4 linked regions of the Oryctolagus cuniculus genome follow. The protein of the gene in region 4 interacts with the protein of the main gene of each other region in a biochemical or structural test. Links are inferred from orthologs where the notes say so. Each region holds a gene or a part of one and is shown on either strand. Other genes may lie near its edges. The genes, in order: BCL11A, BCL11B, GTF2B and NR2F1.

Evidence for each region.
Region 1: the proteins of NR2F1 (region 4) and BCL11A form a complex in vitro, tested with the Homo sapiens proteins (2 studies listed by BioGRID). The link is inferred for Oryctolagus cuniculus from reciprocal best matches to the Homo sapiens genes NR2F1 and BCL11A.
Region 2: the proteins of NR2F1 (region 4) and BCL11B form a complex in vitro, tested with the Homo sapiens proteins (2 studies listed by BioGRID). The link is inferred for Oryctolagus cuniculus from reciprocal best matches to the Homo sapiens genes NR2F1 and BCL11B.
Region 3: the proteins of NR2F1 (region 4) and GTF2B form a complex in vitro, tested with the Homo sapiens proteins (2 studies listed by BioGRID and IntAct). The link is inferred for Oryctolagus cuniculus from reciprocal best matches to the Homo sapiens genes NR2F1 and GTF2B.

What each region holds. Positions count from the first base shown.
Region 1 is NC_091433.1:142,192,962-142,197,632, reverse strand, and holds part of BCL11A (B-cell lymphoma/leukemia 11A), read right to left. Parts: intron 1,226-4,671; coding exon 1,124-1,225; intron 1-1,123. UniProt on the Homo sapiens protein: Transcription factor. Associated with the BAF SWI/SNF chromatin remodeling complex. Binds to the 5'-TGACCA-3' sequence motif in regulatory regions of target genes, including a distal promoter of the HBG1 hemoglobin subunit gamma-1 gene.
Region 2 is NC_091451.1:43,080,550-43,085,220, forward strand, and holds part of BCL11B (B-cell lymphoma/leukemia 11B), read right to left. Parts: intron 4,183-4,671; coding exon 2,069-4,182; 3' UTR 1-2,068. UniProt on the Homo sapiens protein: Key regulator of both differentiation and survival of T-lymphocytes during thymocyte development in mammals.
Region 3 is NC_091438.1:82,091,913-82,097,208, reverse strand, and holds the start of GTF2B (transcription initiation factor IIB), read right to left. Parts: upstream 3,329-5,296; 5' UTR 3,191-3,328; coding exon 3,174-3,190; intron 1-3,173. UniProt on the Homo sapiens protein: General transcription factor that plays a role in transcription initiation by RNA polymerase II (Pol II). Involved in the pre-initiation complex (PIC) formation and Pol II recruitment at promoter DNA.
Region 4 is NC_091445.1:16,209,441-16,214,111, reverse strand, and holds part of NR2F1 (COUP transcription factor 1), read right to left. Parts: exon of another isoform or gene 4,634-4,671; coding exon of another isoform or gene 4,621-4,633; intron 3,929-4,620; coding exon 3,401-3,928; intron 1-3,400. UniProt on the Homo sapiens protein: Coup (chicken ovalbumin upstream promoter) transcription factor binds to the ovalbumin promoter and, in conjunction with another protein (S300-II) stimulates initiation of transcription. Binds to both direct repeats and palindromes of the 5'-AGGTCA-3' motif.

The sequences.
Region 1 (4,671 bases), on a different chromosome or scaffold from region 4:
CCTACCCAGAGAAGCACACTGTACGACCTCCTCAAACAGCACCTTTCCAAAATCGCTGTTATAAACATGCAAATCTAAATGTCATAAAAGGTTCCCAATTTCCTAGAAAAGTCCTCACTATCAACGTTGGCTTCGACGAGTGACTGGATGATGGTAGTGGTGGTATCTTTACATTTTAACTACAGTGCTGTGTATTTTTCTCCAAAACTAGGAGAAAATGGGTAGAAATCATGTCTGTGTTATGCCTACATACGTGTATGTACACATGTATGCATATGTATCGTCATCCCTCAGTATCTGCAGGGGATCGGGTCTAGGACCTCTTGGATACAGAATCCATGGGTGCTACATAAAATGGCATAGTATTTTCTTACAACCCACACACATCCTCCTGCGTACTTTAAATCACCTCTAAACTACTTACAATACCACGCACAATGTAAATGCTCAATAAATGGCTGTGAGGCTGTGTTGTTTAGGGAGTGACAACAGCAAGTCTGTTCATGTTCAGTACAGAGGTCATTCCTTTTTTTTCCTGAATATTTTCGATCCCTGATGGGTTACTGTGCAGATGCTGAGCCCACAGATACAGAGGGCAGCCTGTATATGCTTATACTTGCACATACGTGATGTGCCAGGTATATGTAGAAGTATGCCACGTTCAAATACAAATGTAAATGCATCAATAAAATGCAGCAGAGTGACTGCCAACGGACTCCTTTTGGGTCTGGAGTCTGCTGGAGGTGGACATCGTGGAATAATCCCAAGTCCTCCGTGAGGCCCGGGAGTGAGTGTCCAGCTATAACATAGACTCTGCACACACAGCTGTATCCAGTCCCCAGCCTGGAGCCAGCCAAGACCCTGGGGAGCAGACCCACAAGGGAGAGCTGCTGTCAGCTCCGTGCCTGCAGTGAGCAGAGGGAAAAAGGAGAAGGGGAAAGTCACTCTTGGGGCTGAGTGGAGCCAGGGAGCGGGTGCCAAGTGAGTAATGGAATAATGCATCTGCGGGTGCCAGCCTATTTTGGAAGTAACTCCCTTCAGTACTTAAAAAGTAAGGGTAATTTCCAGCAACTCCCATCTCTATACACACGGACACTTGTAGAAGAAATAATGCTCAACTTACAAATACCCTGCGTGGCGTACTCTGCGCTCATCCCGGGCGTGGGGATTAGAGCTCCGTGTGCAGACCGAGGGGAAGCCAGGCCCCTCCAGTGCAGAAGTTTATCTGTGAAAGAAACCCAACATCAGGAGCTGCAGCCACAAACAACACACAAACGACAGGACAGCACATCGCGGTTCCATCAACACAGAGTAACATCATCGAACAGCCTTGCACATAGTGAACAGGCCCAAAGCCTGAGCAAAAGAACAGAGGTGAGTGACTTCCCCCAGTTTTTGTTTTGTTTTCAACCCTGGCCTTTTTTGGCTAAAGGAAACAGGCTTCTTACAGGTATGGTGGGAGAGTCTTTGGTTCACCTGTTCGTGGCTGTTTGATTATTCTCTTACGGTAAGAGATGCGCAGCAAGGAGAAAGTGGGGGATACCACAGGTAGGTCGGCAAAATGGGGAGACCTCCCTGCAAGGCTGGTTCCCAGGCATACATTACTTTAAAGACAAACACAAACAAAGAACAATATGCTCATAAAATGAGTGGATTTACCAACCATTTTTTTTAATAGGATGAAGTCCCACTCTCCCTTCCCCAACACATTGCCCGCTCCCCCCCAACTATATTTATGATATGACCTTCAGTGACAAGGAAATTTGGGCATTTTAGGAGTTGGCAGGTCACCTTCTAGAATCCTACCCACAGGGTAGTGGGTGTAGGCATCACTTCTCACAACACACAGCACTGGAGAATAAAGGATTAACATAGCTTTGGCCCAGGACCCCCTTGAGAGTGAGGAATTAAAGCATTAAAGAATAAGGCAAGAACCCATGTGCAGTAACAGTCACATCCAGAAACCACAGCCTACCGTCCCAGGTCCTCGGCTCCTGTGGCACTCTAGTTAGGACAGGTGACTTCTTGCACTAACAATCATGAACCTAGCAATCAATCAAGCATTTCCGGCACTGATATATTTATTTGTAAGGGAAGTAATTGGTTTGTGCCCCCTGAGATCCTGGTTTTTCCAAATCCAGCTTCCACAAACTGACCAAGTGGATATCCACTGTGAGGAGGAGTGGAGGGTGGACAGGGTAGGGGACACTCCCTATGTTCTGGAGGCCTGCAGTGTGTGATGACTAGGAGAGGTGAGAGAGAAGAAAAACAGATTTCGAGGGTGAGCAGAGAGTATGTTTTCCATTAGCTTAATATTAAGAGAACTTCGAAGTGTGTTGTTGTGCTCCAGGATAGCAGGTGTCCGGTGTAAAACCACATCCTGTTCTCCTTATACACACCTCAATGCCAAGTGCAGCCAGGGTAGTTGGGACAAGGTCTCCTTTCATGAGCAGCCGGTGGGTAACAGCAATGTGTTGCTCGAGACAGCTCTTACAGTACAGAAAGCATAAATCTATTGTCAGCAGACCTGCAGTGGAGGCACGACCCAGCCTGAGACCATCTAGAGGCATTTCCTCCGCCCCGACCCAACACACAATAACAACCACAAAAGGAACCAGCAAATGCAGGAAAACCAGACTCAGAGACCAAGTGTGTCTACATCTGACTATCCATGTTAAATGAATTCAGAGTACGGAGTAAAATTAACGACAGATTTAGTCCTAGTAGTTTTCAACAAGAAATCTGAGAATCCATTTTTGCACTTGTTCTTGCCTTGGCTGTTTAATAAGTTTGCTTGCTGCCAAGACTGAAATCCTTTTCTTAGGAAACCCATACAACTGAGGTATCTCTGTGACCTCAGCTTAAGGTCCTTAGACATCCTGCATGCAGAGAGTCTAATTTCAAATTCCCTGCCACTTAACCACGCCAGGGAACCCTAAGGTGCTTCGAAAGGCCTCCTGCGAGAACTGCTAACCTACCCAGCTCAGCCATTAGCATGGCTCTCCAACTGGCAAACTCATCCGCACCCTGAGCGGCTGCAGCCACCGGATCACGCAGCAAAGGGCGGCCTCACCCTTGACAGCATCTCTGCATCTGTCTTCACAGCTTGCTTCCTTTCTAAAGATTTACTGTGTTTATTTATTTGAAACACAACAGTGACAGAGAGATCTTCCATCCACTGTGTCACTCCCCAGATGCCCACAACAGCTGAGGCTGAGCCAGGCCAAAGCCAGGAGCCAGGAGCTCCATCTGAGCACCCCATGTGGGTGGCAGGGATCCATGTCCTTGGGTGATTGTCTGGTGTACCCCAGGTGCATTAGCAGGAAGCTGAATCAGAAGCGGCGGCGGGACTCAAACTAGGGACTCCAGTATGGGTTGGGGGAGTCCCAAGAGGCAGCTCTACAATGCCTACTGTTTTTTGATTTTTTTAAATGTTGGTTAAAAAAAAAAAAAACACCTTAGTGCTCCTCCAATCTGTGCCTAATTTCACAGGTGGGGAAACAGGGTCTTGAGAAATCAAGTGACGTGCCAGTGGCTGTACTGACAGTTCATCACCAAGCGAAGATTAAAACCAGTCTCTGACCACTGCTCTCTCCCGGCACATCTACTCCACCCTCTGCTGACCCTGCCTTGGTCCTCACTGCCCAAGAAATGCCACGAAGGAGGCTTCTCCATCTATTCATCCATTCACCTCTCAGCGGAAGGAAGAGCAGCCCAGCCCAGCAGTGTCCAGTGGGGCCTTCCAAAGGTCCCCATGGAATAGGAGGAGGAGGAGGAAGGGTGGGAGTGCAAGTGGGGGGGGGGGGTGGGTGGGCGGGGAGAATCACTATGTTCCTAAATTTGTGTTTATGAAGTTTGTATACCTTAAATAAAATGTTTCTGGGGAAAAGAAAGGACTGAAATAAAAAAAAAAAAAGATTCCAATGAACTGGGTTTCACAACTAGAAAATAGAGCCTGTTCTGCCACCTTGGGGCCCCTGGACTCACTTCCACAGTCCTCCTCCTCTAACTGCTTCCCCTGCAGAATTAGCCCACTAAAGGAAAACAAACCATGTCTCAGCCTGACAAGCCATTCACATAAGCAGACTTTGTGCAGAAGCTGAGGCCGGCCTTGATCTCCCTCCAGGAAGAGGGACAAAGCAAAGCCACATGGGCACCCGGCTTATTCTTGCTGCTTCTTCCACCAAACGTGTTCCTAACCGTCTCCTCGGGAAGTAGAATGGGAGTTCCCACGAGGACTGGAAATGTACATGTGAACAGCCTCCCTAGGGTTTAACTTCCTGCTACGATGCCTTCAATCATTTCATCATGGCCTAGGCCAAGCAAAGTCGTCACAAAGAACGCTTCCAAGGATCAAACTCAAGGAGCAGCTCTGCCTTCCGAGGTTGGGGACTGGGAGGTGCAGCACTGGCTGGGTGCTCTTGCTAACCCCACGCCTCTCATTCTCCCCAGGGGCAAATGGTCTCGGCAGCTGGCTGGGAAGCGGGTGTCTACTTCTGCCCTCTTCTCTGGTGCTCTCAGCAAAGTGCTCTCAGAGCACAGATCTGGGCCCAGCAGCATCACCTGGGAGCTTGTTGGAAGGGCAAATGCTTGGGCCCCACCTCAGACTTACCGAACAAGAAACTAGGGTGGAGGGGGCTATGGGAAGCAACAGTCGCTGTGGCGTGCGTG
Region 2 (4,671 bases), on a different chromosome or scaffold from region 4:
AAAGTTTTTTTTTCTTGTTTTGTAAAATGCCCAGGCATTCTCGATTATTACAAATACTGGTCCACTTTTACAGTAATCAAGAAATTTTAATATATATAATATATACTAAAACCCCGTCACCAAAAGAAAACAATATACACGCAGCCGCTGTGGCATTTTGTATAACCTAGTAAGCAAACTTTGAAAAAAAAAATGATCGCTCCAACACACATACACACAATTTTTTTTACCCTTGTATGTATCCAATACTGTAAACGTATTTTTAAGACAGAGTGCACTAAATTTAACTTTAGAAAAAATTAGCCGTTGTTCCTGAATTGTTTTTATTTTCATTCAACGATAGCAACATGTAAGTTCAGCAGTAAGTTACCTCCGCTCCACATCTAAGCAGCGTTGTCCCAAATGCAAAAGGGGTTGTGTACAGTTCAGCTCGCGATGTCCAAGGTTGTGCTGGGTTTATTTCTTCATTTGATTGGGTCTTCTATGGCATTTTCATGTCCTCTCTCTTCAACCAGGATTTTTTTTTTTAATTTAAAGTAAATGTGGCTTTTCTCGTTTTACTTTTTTAAAAAGTCCTTTCATTTCAAAAAAAAAAAAATTTTGCATTTGTCTCAAGAGACTCGGATAGGAAGATCAGTTTTCAAGGCACTCACGTCAGATTGGGTGGCAGCAGAACTGTCCAGCAAGTAACTTGATTTTGTTCTTTATAGTGCCAGCATTGTGAATGCCACGCTTAGCAACACTGACACTCAATCTCGCTGTCCCTTAGAGTTCAACCCACCTCTGGGCCAAAGAGAAGAATATGTTGCAATTTCTTGTTTAGAAGCCATTGAATTTAAATGCAAACAAAAGCTTTTAAAGTGCGGGTCAACAGAATCCAAATGTCTAATCTTAACAGTCCAATGCTGAGCTCCTTCCAACCTAACGAGAGGGGGAAAACTGGGAAGCAGCACGGGGGGCCCCAGTGGCGGGGTCTCTCCCCTTGCTCTTCCGGAGAAAGGGCAGAAATTCCTAGGGTTCCTCCCCCTGTCCCTGCAGCCCGGCCAGCTCAGCGTGCACCGACTGCCTCCCCTGGCTACCAGGCCACGTGACTTCCCGGCAAAGGATCGGCCACCACTGCTGGCACCGTGGGACATGGGGCTTCCGTGGTGGGAGTTGGGGGAGAGGGCCTGTGGGGCCAGAAGTGGCCAGAAAGAACTCACTTACAGGCCACTGACCCACAGGGGGCCGGGCCGTGGTTTGGCCTCCCCTGGGGCACAGAGCAGAGAGGGCACCCAGGACAGCATCTGTGGGCAACACCCAGCTTCAGACCCCTCTCCGCCCGCCCCCCCCGTGGTGGTGGTGGGGGGTGCTGAGTTTGGGGTGCCGCCCCCCAAGTTTCCCTTACAGAACGGTGAGAGCTGAAGTGAACACAGAAAAGGCCTCTGTGAGTCGGAGCTCCTGGGCTGCGCCTCCATTCCACTTCTGAAACAAAGTGCTACAACGTTAGGGATTGTTATCCGCTGACATGCCCCCAAAACGAAACAAAACAAAAGGCAGAAACCGCATGCCACATTTCATTTCAGGCCAAAAAAATGTAAAAAGGAAGGAATAAAATAGTAAACAACTTCAAAATCGTTGAAGTGTTGGCTTCTTCACAAGAAATTACACATGCTTAGCTTAAATCTCAAAAAAGCAGCGCCCCTACCCCAAATTATAATTTAAAACATTCGGCTCCCTCCACACTGCTTGCGAGTCATTGCTCAGGCTACTACGGGGTTTGTTTGTTTTAAAAAAAAAAAAAAAAAAAAAACGAAGAAGGGACGGATACCCAACAAAATTTCTTAAAGGAATTTAAACAGAAGAGAATAATAATTAAAAAAAAAAAAAAAGTACCTGCACATGCCAAAAAAAAAATTACAAAACCCAATAAATACAGAAATTATTGCACAGTTAAAAGGCTCCACAATGTTCAGTGCCTCCATCAACCCTCGGGTCTCCGTGCGACTTGGCAGACACGGGTCGGGCGCGCGCGCGGGGCGGCGGGCGCGCAGGTGCGGGGCGCACGGGCGCGCGCGCGCGCCTGCGCTCAGCTGCGCTCGGCCTGCTCGATCTTGACGTCGTTCGTCAGCAAGTGCTCGCCGTGCCACTTCTTCATGTGTTTCTCCAGGGTGCTGTAGACGCTGAAGGGCATCTGGCAGATGTCGCAGCGGTACACCTCCTTGCCGATCTGCCCGTGCGTCTTCATGTGGCGAGTCAGCTTGCTGCTCTGCGCGCACGCGTAGTTGCACAGCTCGCACTTGTAAGGCCGCTCGCCCGTGTGGCTGCGGCGGTGCACGGTGAGGTTGCTGCAGTTCTTGAACACCTTGCCGCAGTACTCGCACGTGTCGCTCCGGCGGCCCTCCTTGGAGCTGGGCCGCCCGGGGCCCGGGCCGCCCAGGTGCGGCGTGCTGCCGCCGCTGGCCGTGCCGCTGCGCCCGGACAGGCCGCCGTCCAGCAGGTCCCCGGGCGGCGTGGAGAAGCGCAGGCTGCCGTTCTCGGACGAGTGCTCCGACGACGTGGCGAAGGGCGACTGGCGCGCGTCGGTGAAGCCCAGGAAGGGGTCCTTCATGAAGTGGCGCGACGCGGCGTAGCCCACGAGCCACTGCGAGTACACGTTCTCGGAGGGGATGAGCGCGGCGGGCGGCAGCTCCAGGTCCTTCTCCACCTTGATGCGCTTGGCCGCGCTGTTGAGCCCGGGGCTGGGCAGCGGCGCGGGCTTGCGCGGGAAGAGCCCCGGGAAGGGCTCGGCGGCCGCCGGCGCGAAGCCGCCCCCGCGCCCGTTGACCGCGCCGCCCGCGCCCGCGTCGCCCGCGTCGTCCTCGCCGCCGCCGCCGCCGCCGCCGCCGGGGTCGCCGCCCGCGCCCACCGCGCGCTTCAGGAAGGCGCCGCGCTTCTGCTTGTCGGCCAGCAGCTCCCCGTAGGGCGGCGGCAGCGCGCCCAGGCCCACGTTCTCCATGACCTTGCCCAGCACCAGCGCCTTCTCGTCGGCCAGCGCCTTGGCCGCGCCGCCCGCGCCCGGCAGCCCGGGCCCGCCGCCCGCGCCCGCGCCCAGCCCCGCGCCCAGCCCCGCGCCCAGCGCGCCGCCGCCGCCGCCGCCGTTCTCCCGGTTGCGGCTCAGCTCCGAGTCCATGCTGAAGCTCGACTCGGGCCGGCTCTCGTTCTCCAGCAACAGCTCCTCCTCCTCCTCCTCCTCCTCCTCGTCCTCCTCCTCGGGCTCGGGGCCCAGCGACGGGTCGCTCTCGTGGTGGCGGAAGTCGCCGTCGGCCGCCTTGAGCGCGTCGCCCGCCAGCTCGCTGGTGCCGGGCTCGGGCGAGCTGGCGGCCGACAGCCCGTCGTCCGAGCGCCCGGCCAGCGAGCCCGCCTTGTGCATGTGCGTCTTCATGTGGCGCTTGAGCTTGCTTGCCTGCGAGCACGCGTGGTCGCACAGCTGGCACTTGTAGGGCTTCTCGCCCGTGTGGCTGCGGCGGTGCACGATCAGATTGCTCTGGAACTTGAACGTCTTGCCGCAGAACTCGCACGACTTGCTCTTGGCCGGCGGCTGCGGCGGGGGCGTGCCGCCGGGGGGCATGGGCGGCAGCGGCGGCGTGCCGAGGAACGGGGACTTGGGGCCGGGCTGGAAGGGGTTCAGGAGCCGGTGCATAGGGTTGCCGCGGCCTGGCGACACGGGTGGCGGCGTGGAGCTGTTGCCCGCCAGCTCGCGCAGCCGCCGCGAGAAGTCCATGGCGGGCGAGTCCATGGCCATGGGGTTCAGGCGCATGACTCGGTCGAAGGCACTGGGGTGCTGGGCCACGAGCCCCATCTCCTCGGCGCTCAGGCGGTGCGCGTCCAGGTGGTGGCGCGGCGGCGGGCTGAAGAGCGGCGGCGTGCCGGGCAGGCGGCCCTCGCCGAAGCCCGGGTGCTCGCGCAGGATGGGGCCCGTCATGCGCAGCAGGTTGAAGGGGTTGCTGTCGCCCAGGAAGTTCATGAGGGGCGACTGCGCCACGGCCTCGGGCCCCAGCGGCGGCGGGATGGTGAGCCGCGGCGTGAGCGAGCTGCTGGCCGGCCCGGGCTCCAGGTAGATGCGGAAGCCGTGCGTGTTCTGCGCGTGCTGCAGCAGGAACCACGCGCTGGTGAAGGGCTGCTTGCATGTTGTGCAAATGTAGCTGGAAGGCTCATCTTTACCTGGGGAGACACGCGGAGAGCAAGGTCAGAGAGGCCGTGAGTCGCGGCAGGGGGGCGCAGGTGGGCGCAGGTGGGCGGGCGGGTGGGGCCGGGTCCTCACCTGGCGCACAGGCCACCTGGGGCTACGCCTGGGCCTAGCCTCTCCAGGTGGGGGGCCTTGCATCCTCTGGGTGTCTGGGAGGTGCCTGACCCGGTATAAAAGACCAGCGGGTGCACTGAGCCATCCGGGCCCCTGTGTGTGTGGAACCACCTGGACCACATGGACTGGGTGGGCCTCTGGTGGAGTCCTGGGGGCTGTCCCGTGCCACCTGGGATGCACAGCAGGACTCCAGCCTGCACCTGCTGGGTGCCAGCAGCACCCTCTGTCCCTGGTCACCAGGGCTGGACATTTCCAAGCAGCGCTCCCCACCCCCACCGGAAGGGGGCAGGGCAAAATCCCAGCCCCTGAGAACCTCTGCTCCGGCCACTTCTGAGTGGAGGAAGCTTTAC
Region 3 (5,296 bases), on a different chromosome or scaffold from region 4:
ACAAACAAAAAACAATACATCAGTTTGGGGAAGACATATTAACCTGAAATCACTTGATAGAATCAAATTTAAAAGCAACAACCATTTTTAACAGAGTTAATCATTATTTCAGGTGGTACAAACTCACAACCACAGATTCTCTATTATTGAAAAGAACACATTTAAAAAAAGTAATACAGAAAATATTTGTTATAGCTATCACAAAAATACACCTAAAAGACTAAAATCAATATTCTTATAGTGTATAAATAGGATATTTATGGCTATGGATAAACATTCTTCTTGTACTTAAAATATAATTCAGGATGTTCACTCTCAACTTGGAAGGTGATATCTATTAGAAAACTAAAAAAAAAAAAAAAAAAAAAAAAAATCCGTATCTCCCAAATTTATATAGTCAAATTAACCAGAACAGGTATTGTATTTTCTAACTAGGAAAATGGGGCCAGATATAGCTTAAATTCAGCCTATTAAATAGATTCCTTAACATTTCAATAAAATGTGACAAAATTAAGCAGTTGGCATAAATTATTTAAAAAAAAAAACTACGTTGAAGCACTAGAATAAGTACAAATCAGCAGTACAGGATGACATATGGAACACAGTATCTAAAGGATTGACATAAGATTTCCGTGCTATTAAAAACTATACAGAAAACCTTAAAGTATTGTATAAATGACATGGAACCTCAAAGACATGTTAAGTGAAGATAGAGTCTATTCAACACTAAAAATGCCTGAGCTACTTACATGCAATAACATGGATGAATCTCAAAATCTGACCAAGAAACTAGACAGCAGAATACTTGTGCCATTTTCATAAACTTTAAAAGGGCGAAACAAATCTACGGAGGTAGAAGTCAGGATGTGGCTTTCTTGGGGACATGGCACTGACCAAGGACACAAAGGAGACTTTGTTACTGTCTTAGCTAGTGCATTGGGACTATTTGATTTCTTGACCTGGGTGGTGGCTATGCCTATGTCCTCACTTTGTAGCTGAGTTGTGTACTTGAACTTTGTATGCTAAGTTCATAAAACAGGCAAAAGGTAAGGTGAAAGCAGTTTACATCAGCTACATTTTGGGGTGAAAAGAGATCAAAACTGCATGCATGTTTGTTAAAACATAATCACCAAGAAAACACCAAAACAAAACAATGGTTGCTCTGGGGAGAATTAGATGCTGGGAGCTAGGAGAAAACAAGACTACTTTTCACTGTCTAGTCTGGTATTTTGCTTTTGTACTGTGTCACCCAGCTAAAGTGAAATGAAATCACACTACAGTAATCACACAAAACATACAAGAGGAAAACCCAGTGGTGGGGGAGGAAGTAAAGAGAAATACGGAAGCAAGGGAAAGAACTACCACCAATGATGTTAAAACAGTTTAGACTACCTAAGGCACCATATAATCACAAATCTCATTTTATGGCTATCAATTGCCTAGTGCTATACACTGAATATCATCAACCTTTTCTACAATCCCACAAAATAGGCATTATCACCATTTTAAAGATTATGACTTGCCTGAAGTCACAAGATAAGTGGTGGAGCTTAGACTTTCAACTCAGAACATTCATGCTCTTCTCTGTTGAGAACACCAATTTTTACTGCCTGTAAATCATTGTGTGGGGGGGGGGGGAGGCTAAAAGTAGAAACACTAACATTTACTTTGTTTCACTAGGTAGAAAACCTTGAAAGATGGATGAACCACAATGACGCGTAAATTTAGGAGATGGATATGCCTGAAAAAAAAAATCTGTATTTCAAGTTTGGTGTATTCTTTGTGTAAACAATCTATTCAGTGACTTTATTTTATGTGTACCATTAGCTTTTTACGGATAAAATTTCCTGTTCCAGTATATGCAAACGCTGTGCACAGATATAGCTACCTCCCAAATAACTCACGAGAGAACGTAAGCCTCATTTAGCGAAGCTGAAGTTTTCCATTTATCTGTAAGGAAGCCTTACCTGACAGAACCACACCCAGACACTATGATTGAGCATTCAATCACAGAACTATAGTCAATAAACAAGGGTGTCACGGGCAGTAAGAGTTATTTCCAGACATTAGCAAAAACTGCTCCCCCCCATTTTTCGTTGATGTTATTACCAGAATACGGTGAGTCTATCCTGGACCTTCCTAGCTTACTTTATGATCAATGGCGTTCCCTGGTGAAATGCATCCACCCCGCACATGATAATGGGTTCAGAAAACCGCCACAGTTGCCTCTAGAAGCTTAGAACTTAATCTGCTATGTTTAATACAGTGCATTAACTATAGGCCGATCATGTGATATAACAGGAAACAGGAGTCTTAGACTACACTCTCTCACTAACCTTGAAAAAGTCAACATGGCCATGACTCAGTTTACACTCACGCAAAAATACTAGTATCTGCCCTAACAGCAATGAGAGACATAATTAGGGTCTGTAAGCGTTTTTCAGGTCACATGATTAAAGGCTGCCTCGCAGGGCACTGCATGCATTTCCTGTAGATGAGTACGTTTTCAAAATATATGACAGAGTATCTCAGTATATCTAGGTAATTTTTTTCTGCAGGCAAGACTTTCTTCAGGATTATACAGACGAAAACATTCGCAGCGCAATCCTTCAGCAAGGGGGCTAATCAAGTCTTGGGATGAGCCCTAGCCTCTCCTGGCTTCCCCTGGGAGGGCCGCGGGGATGGTAATCAGTTTCCTTTCGGCTTACCAGCGCTGACGTTTCCAACTTTTTAGCTGTCAGATCAATATGGGCCTAGGATAAACGTTTCCCGCTCTTTGAAAGAAAAAAAAGGGGGGGGGGGGAACTGAGGACTCTAAGGCCAGTTGGGCCGTGGATTGGAAAAACAAGCGTAGAAAAAATTAACAAGGGAAAAAGACGGCTGATATCTTCGCCCAAGACGCGAGGACAAGGGGCTGGGCATACAGGGGCCCGCGCAGGATGGAATCTGGGGTTAGAGATGACCCAGGGCGCTCGGGCGGTAACGTCGACGGCTCGGTACCCCCGCGACAGCCCTGACAGTCCTGCCGCATGGAAGTGCCATTGTCCGGGGCAGCCTGCCAGCCCCCGCCGCCGCTCCCCGATACCTCCCGGCGCTTCGTCAGACGCGACCGCCCCCGCCGGCCGCCCAGAATCCGCGGCGCTCGCTGGCCGCGCTCGGCGGGACCTACTAACCGGCTTGTGGACGCCATCTTCACGGCCGCTGCGGTTCCACCACCGAGCGACGACTGCTACGCCAGAAACAGGAAGAGCCTGTGGCGGCGAGACGCCCCGAGACGGGCTTTTATAGGCGAGTCAGCCACGCAGTCGTAACAGGGTGCGGCTACGGGTCGGGAGAAGGGCCAAGAACAATGAGTCCCTGTGTGTCGTACGCTTTGCATTTTCTTATGTCGTCTGTTGTTTACTAGGTGGGTCGGCGAGTCTGTGAAATTACCCGGGGAAGGTCTCAAGGGAACCCTGCAAACGGGCTCCTTTTCAATTTGACCGAGTTAAAGCGCGAAGAAAACGCTGGCTTCGTGGAGGGGGCAAAGCCCACATCCCTGAGGGCTGACCCCAGCCTCTCTCCCTCCCTCTTCCCTGCCATTTATCCCTGTGTAAACGCGGTTCTCACTTGCCACGAGGGGTGGTTCTCTATTACTAAGGAATTTGGGATAAAGAGAGCGATTCACTCAGGTCATCCGAAGCGGATGTCAATTCAGGCTCTGCCATCGGCCACCACGCCGCCGAGTCTTCTCAGGGGGTATTAGGATCTGCCTCGCATACCCTTCCAGAATTGGCAGGAGATGAAACAAAACCATGTGACAGCACTGTGTGCTCCGGAGGCACGAAGCTATGGGCCCTGCCCTGACGGCTTTTATTCATGGCCTTTGGAAATTTGGCTGATAGCTAAGTTTAGACAACTTGGCAGAACGCCTAGATGCCACAAGAAGTCCCTTGATGTATTCATTAGCCAAATTAAGGTCAAATAATAGCAAAAACACCACCAGTTTGCTGAAAGCAAGCCACCCTTGACAGTGTAGGGATTGGAGGAGAAAGGGTGATTCCTTGTTTCTATGAGGATGAGGATATAGTAACTGCTTTGTTTTGAGAAAATGAGCCTTAAACTCTGCTGACCACACCTTTTTTTTTTTTTAAATGTGGAAGATACAAGAGGATTTCAAAAAAGTTCATGGATAATGGGATTTATAGAATTTTGAAATCCATGCATACAAAGGATTTTTAAAAGTTCTTGAAAATGCATATGATGAAAAAACTATGCATGAATTTCAATTTTTTCCAACAAAATAAATCTTTTAACTCCATTTTCTTGGGAAAACTTACTCTTGGGAAGAGTAAGTGTGAGAAGCAGGAATTTAGAAACTGAAATATGGATGGGAATAGGGGAGCATTTTTTTTTTTGAGTCTTCCATTCTGGAATTTAAAAATTTGTATGCTTGTGTCCCCCACCCCTTAATATTTGGGAAAGTTTCAAAATGACCTCCCACTTCAATCAGGGAAAGGCCTAGGGGATACTTAGTAGTGAGTTTTCTCTATGAGAGTTTCTTGGCTTGAGGGAAGAAGAAAAGAGCAAAGGGCAAGGGAACAATTCCCGAGGATTACCAATACGGAGCTGGCACCTGGTAGACTGGAGGCAGAAATTCAGTAACATTTGCTGAAGTAACAAACCCTTGGAGAAATGGTAACCCAAGAGGAGGGCTTCAGAGCAATGGTTGCATCACTGCTCCCCACCTGCAGTGTCTCTATCACACCCTTCCACAAGTTTCATTCCTACTAAAATAGCAGGCAGCCTATGTAAGCCGCTCTTTTTCTTTTTGTTAATATAGCATTAGTCATTTATAAAGCATTTCATTAATGTTATTCCCCTTTACCTTTATTTGTGATCCCGGGATTAAAATACAACTGCACAAAACCGAGATTTTATCACCAAGGACTCACTGACCTAGACTAGCATTTACCCAGACTTTTAGTTTGTATCACCATTTTTATTTTAATAATCAATGTAAAGTTACATGATTAGTGAATGTTAATTATTCAAAATAATTTATTAATTTAAATTATCATATTTTTAAACTTCAGAACTTATTTGAAAAGTTGGTATCAGCTTTGTGAAATCACAACTTAATGTGCTAAAGTGAAAAAATGTTTGGATACCTAATATGTAAAGAAAAGTTTGTGACTTAACTAGATTTACTTGTTTTAAAAAAACTTTACTGTGGCTGGTGTTGTGCTGTAGCAGGTTGAGCCACTGCCTGTGATGCCAGCATTCCACATGAGTGCTGGTTAGAGTCCCAGTTACT
Region 4 (4,671 bases):
TTGCTTTCCATGTATTATCCGCCCATTATGCCAGGAATCACTTTCAGGCCCACACAATGCAAAAGGAAAAGGACCCACTTATACCCCAGCAGGTTTTTTTAAAGACCCATTTGGCATCCCTTCCAATTAGTAAAATATTTCTCTGATATTTACAACTAAAATCCCCAGAGAGCAAGGTCACTTCCCCAACTCCTGGATAAGCCACTCCAAGGGAGAAGCCCAGTTAAAGTGTGCTTAGGCCTTATGCTAGCTCCTTCGGTTTCTTTCCTCCTTGGGAGGTGGGAGGTCTGTAGCTGGGCCCACCTGCCAGGTACCAGCCGGCCAGCCCTGTGGCCTCCTTCCGGCAAGAGCCCTGGTTCTGGCCTGGCTTCCTACTCTGAGTATTCATTCACTGCCCCCACCCCCCAACACACAGGATTCCCCCAACTGTGGACAGAAGGCAAGAGCCCTCAGATCAACTGGGGGGTGGGTTATGGTGGCAAAGCGAGGTGAGCGGGGGCGGGGGGTGTGTGTGAGTTATACTCCAGATAAGAAAAGGAGGCAGAATGTGCACAATCCATGTCTCACTTTTTATATGGTAGTGTCAATGTGGGAACCCTCAATATTTCTTCTACAGTGTATGGAAAAGAAATTATGTAAATAAATAACCATTACTGCCGAGGCCCTCCTGGCTTAGCCTTTGTAGTGCAGAGAATGTATTTCATGTTGTGCATTCACAAGAGTTTAGTGTTCAGGAAATGTAGATGTAATCAGCTGCCATAACTAGAAATCAAAGTTATTATTGTACAGAAAATGGATTTATTGTATTTATGTTAACTAGATGGCTCTTTTCAGAGAAGGTCTCATTTATTTGAAGGAATATTTAGGTGTGTGAATTAATGAAAAAAATTTTTTTAAAAAAAGTAAGTTCAGGTCATGACCTAGTCCTTGGATGCTGTCCAGAATATTAAGGATTAAACATAGCATCCGGAGGCCAAATGTGAAAACCACCACGGGGGACCCCCGTGCCAGCTTCAAATACTTAACCAGAGCAAACCACGTTGGACAATATGTCTAAAACTGTCTTTTCCATCATTCAAAGTTTGCTTAAAAGTTGGATGACTTTGAGAAGGCTTCCCATGAATTCCCTTCTGGCTGGCAATCAAAACAAGTTTAGTCAAAAGTGGAAACGTGTTGTAGGGAGGAGGAGGGGTGAATTACTACTGACAGCTCTATTTCCATTTTCAGATATTCCGCTTTCAATTCTCCAACAAAATAATGTTATTGTTCACTTCTAGGCACCCCCTGCACCTTGAACACTTGGTTCAAGGAAACTTCTTTGGGAAACTTTTTAAAAGGAGCACTTTTCACAGGAGTGTTTTAGGACGGAAAGTTAAAAGAAAAAGCATGAATAATTCCACCATGTTCCCCCTGCAGCCTGCACAGTCCTCGGCTCTCTCTCTGGGAAAGGGCAGGAGATCAGCAAAGTCAAGGGGGTTCAAAGACCCTTAGGGGGAGAAAGGCTAAGGGGAGGGGAGGCCTTTCTCCGGTAGACCTCTGTCCAGCTCCAAGTTAACATTTCTGCTTCAAGACACCTCGCTGGATGCGATTTTCAACCCCCAGCTTCCCTGACACTGGCTTGCTTCCTGATAAATTTGGCTAAAGAGCTGGGTAGCGCAGAGCCAGCCAGGCCCCCAGGCCTGCCAGAGCTAAAGCATTCTGGTCGCTGCTTCCCGGGCTCTTTGTCACTTTTGAAAAACACGTTTCCATCAAGAAGACTTATTAAGATAAAATGCATTCAAACACCGAGGAGGCTATTCAATAAATCTTCCATTTGTTTTAAGGTTCACACTCTATCCTTTCGCAAAGAATAACTCCCTCTCTCACAGGCAGACCTGCATTTGCACTGAAAGTAAAAGGGGCAGCTTAGGTCCATGGCTCTGGCCACCCTGCATACAAATGAGACGCTCTTGTCTAAATAAATTATCTGCTGCTCAGATCGATATTAATACTACATTTGCTACATTACAATATTGTGCAAATTTAAGAGTCATTTTAATACAATGTAAATACGATTCTTCACGCATGAAAGCCAAGATATATTGATAGATGAGACCACTGCTTACTGCTCAGCAAGGCCTTGGGAAAGGGGTTTTTTCCATCTCTGCTCAAGAACGGGTTTCATCTGGCCTTTGGAGGGCCTGGCCCCAGGATGGATTTATGAGGATGGTGCATTTGTTCTCCGGATGGAGGAATTACAAACAATAGTGCCAACAACAGTGGCAGAACAGCCGCTAACTCTACCCACAGTGGGCAGGGCTCAAGACCCAGTCTGCTCCCCACCAGCCTCCTTTCTGGCTTTGTTTATATTCCCTCCCCCCATTACCTGCTGTCCCGGGTGTTTATATGTTTGCCTCTTGCAGGTTACAATAATAAAAGGCCGGCAGTGTTCGCAGAGGCTCAGACCCGAGGCCTTCAAAGGCAACGTTAATGCTCTTTCCTGGAAGTTAATTTGAACCATCTATCATAAGAGAAATTGTTAACATGCATGTGACCGCTGCCTCCACTTAATTCGATATATTTTGAAGGCTCTCCTTTAGGTTTCCAGCGTTCGTGTGTTTGGCATAGCTATGAAATTTATCTCCGGGCCGGGAAGGCACCCATCCTTGCGGGTTCTACAATCTTGCTTTTGTTTTTTATCTTTCTTGTTTAGATCGAATCCGTTTTTTATGACCCTCAATAACCTCAGAAACTGCAAACATGAATGGTTTCCGATAAGGGAAAATCAGGCAGCCATAAAGCGGGATTATTTATGATTTATTTGTGCGTATTCTTCTCTTCCCTCCTCTCTCTCTCTCTGTGTCTCTCTGTGTGGGGAAACTCATCCCCGGCGCGTGGCACACGGAGTAGGAAGCTACAGCTCCACGTTCTCTTCCCTCCCCTCTCCTCCCCCAGAAACGCTGAGCTCGGGCTCACACACACACACACACACGCGCGCGCGCACACACACACACACACACGCATCCCGCACACACACACCCCGCACACCAGAGCAGCCAGGCAGGCCCGCGGCATCGCCTCCCCCTCTCCGCACACGCGCATCCACCGCAGCCGCGGCCCCGCGCGGGGGGCCAGGCCACCTAGGCCCTGGTAAGCCCCGGCGGCCGCCTCGGCTCCCGCACCGCAGCGCTCCCAAGATGGCAGCAGCGCGGCCCGGCCGCGTCCCCGCGCCGGGGCCGCAGACCCAGGTCAGGCCCACGATCCGGCAAGGGCCGGGCCTCGTGCGCCCGCACCCGCAGCGGCGGCGGCTGCGGCGGCGGCGCGGGTAGCCAGGCCCCGCGGGCGGTGGCGGCGGCGGCGGCGGCGCGGAGCCTGCGCTCGCTCCCGGCGCGGCCTGCCCTCCGCGCGGGCGCAGCCTCACCTGACGTGAACAGCACGATGGCCTTGAGGCAGCTGTACTCGGCCGAGTCGACGTGCAGCGCCTTGAGCTTCTCCACTTGCTCCTGGAAGATGCGGATGTGGTCCATGAAGGCCACGACGCGGTCGGCGGACATGGGCGAGGCGTGCAGGCCGGCGGCTGCCAGCAGCGGCGCCACGTGCAGCGGCATGGAGCACTGGGCCGCGTTGAGCACGAATAGCTCGCTCCAGGTGAGACGCAGCAGGGACACTTGGTCGGTGATCTGCAGGTCCGGGAAGAAGGGGATGTTGCGGGCCCACTCGACGGCGCTGAAGAGCAGGCGCGCGGCCAGCTCGCAAATGTTCTCGATGCCCATGATGTTATTGGGCTGCATGCACTGGCTGCCGTAGCGCGACGTTGGGTAGGGCTCGGCGCGCAGCAGCAGCGAGATGTAGCCAGACAGGTAGCAGTGGCCGTTGAGGGGGTCCCCGTTGGTGAGTGCGTACTGGCCTGGATTGGGCTGGGTAGGAGGCATTCTTCCTCGCTGAACCGCTGACGGAGAGACAGAGAGAAAAGAGGCAATGTGCATCCAGGGGGCTTGCGAACAACGCCGCGCCGCAGCGCACCCGACACAATGCAGCAGCTCTGCCCGCAGCCACAGGCGCCCCGCGCCTCTCCTGCTGGCTCCCACTCCCGGCCCACACCGTGCGAGCCGGGGCTCGGTCCTCCAGCGCCAGGGCTCGGGGTGTCCGTCCAGCCATCGCCCGAGCCCCTGGCCACCTCAGCCCCGCCAGAACTAGGCCTGACTTCAGAGCCCCCAGCTCCGCGTGGCCAAGGAAGTGCCACCCAAACCCTGGGCTACCAAGGAGGAACACACAGATAAAGGACACCCCACCCCACTCACCCCCTCCGGAATGAAACAAATCGGGGTCAAGGAAGAAAAAAAAAAAAGAGGCGAAACTGGAGAAAGGTTGTGGTTCTAGGCGAATAAACGCATGCCCAGCGGCCTCTTCATCCACAAGCTAGCAGTGTTAGGCAAAAAAACCCATTCTCTAAAAAATGCTGCAGAATTACCGTTAAAATAGATACCAGTTACACATCCTACTAAGCACTTACAACTTCTGAGTAGACAGCAAGTATCCTGCACCCTTCTCTTCTCCCCTCCTCCCCATCGCCCCATACAAAGTTCTCACTATTAAAAGCAACAGAAAATTGAAAATTTCCAAGAGAAAAGTTGAACTTACAGTAGCCAAACATTATTGAAAAAAGTGGGAAATATAATTAATGTCTGTCCT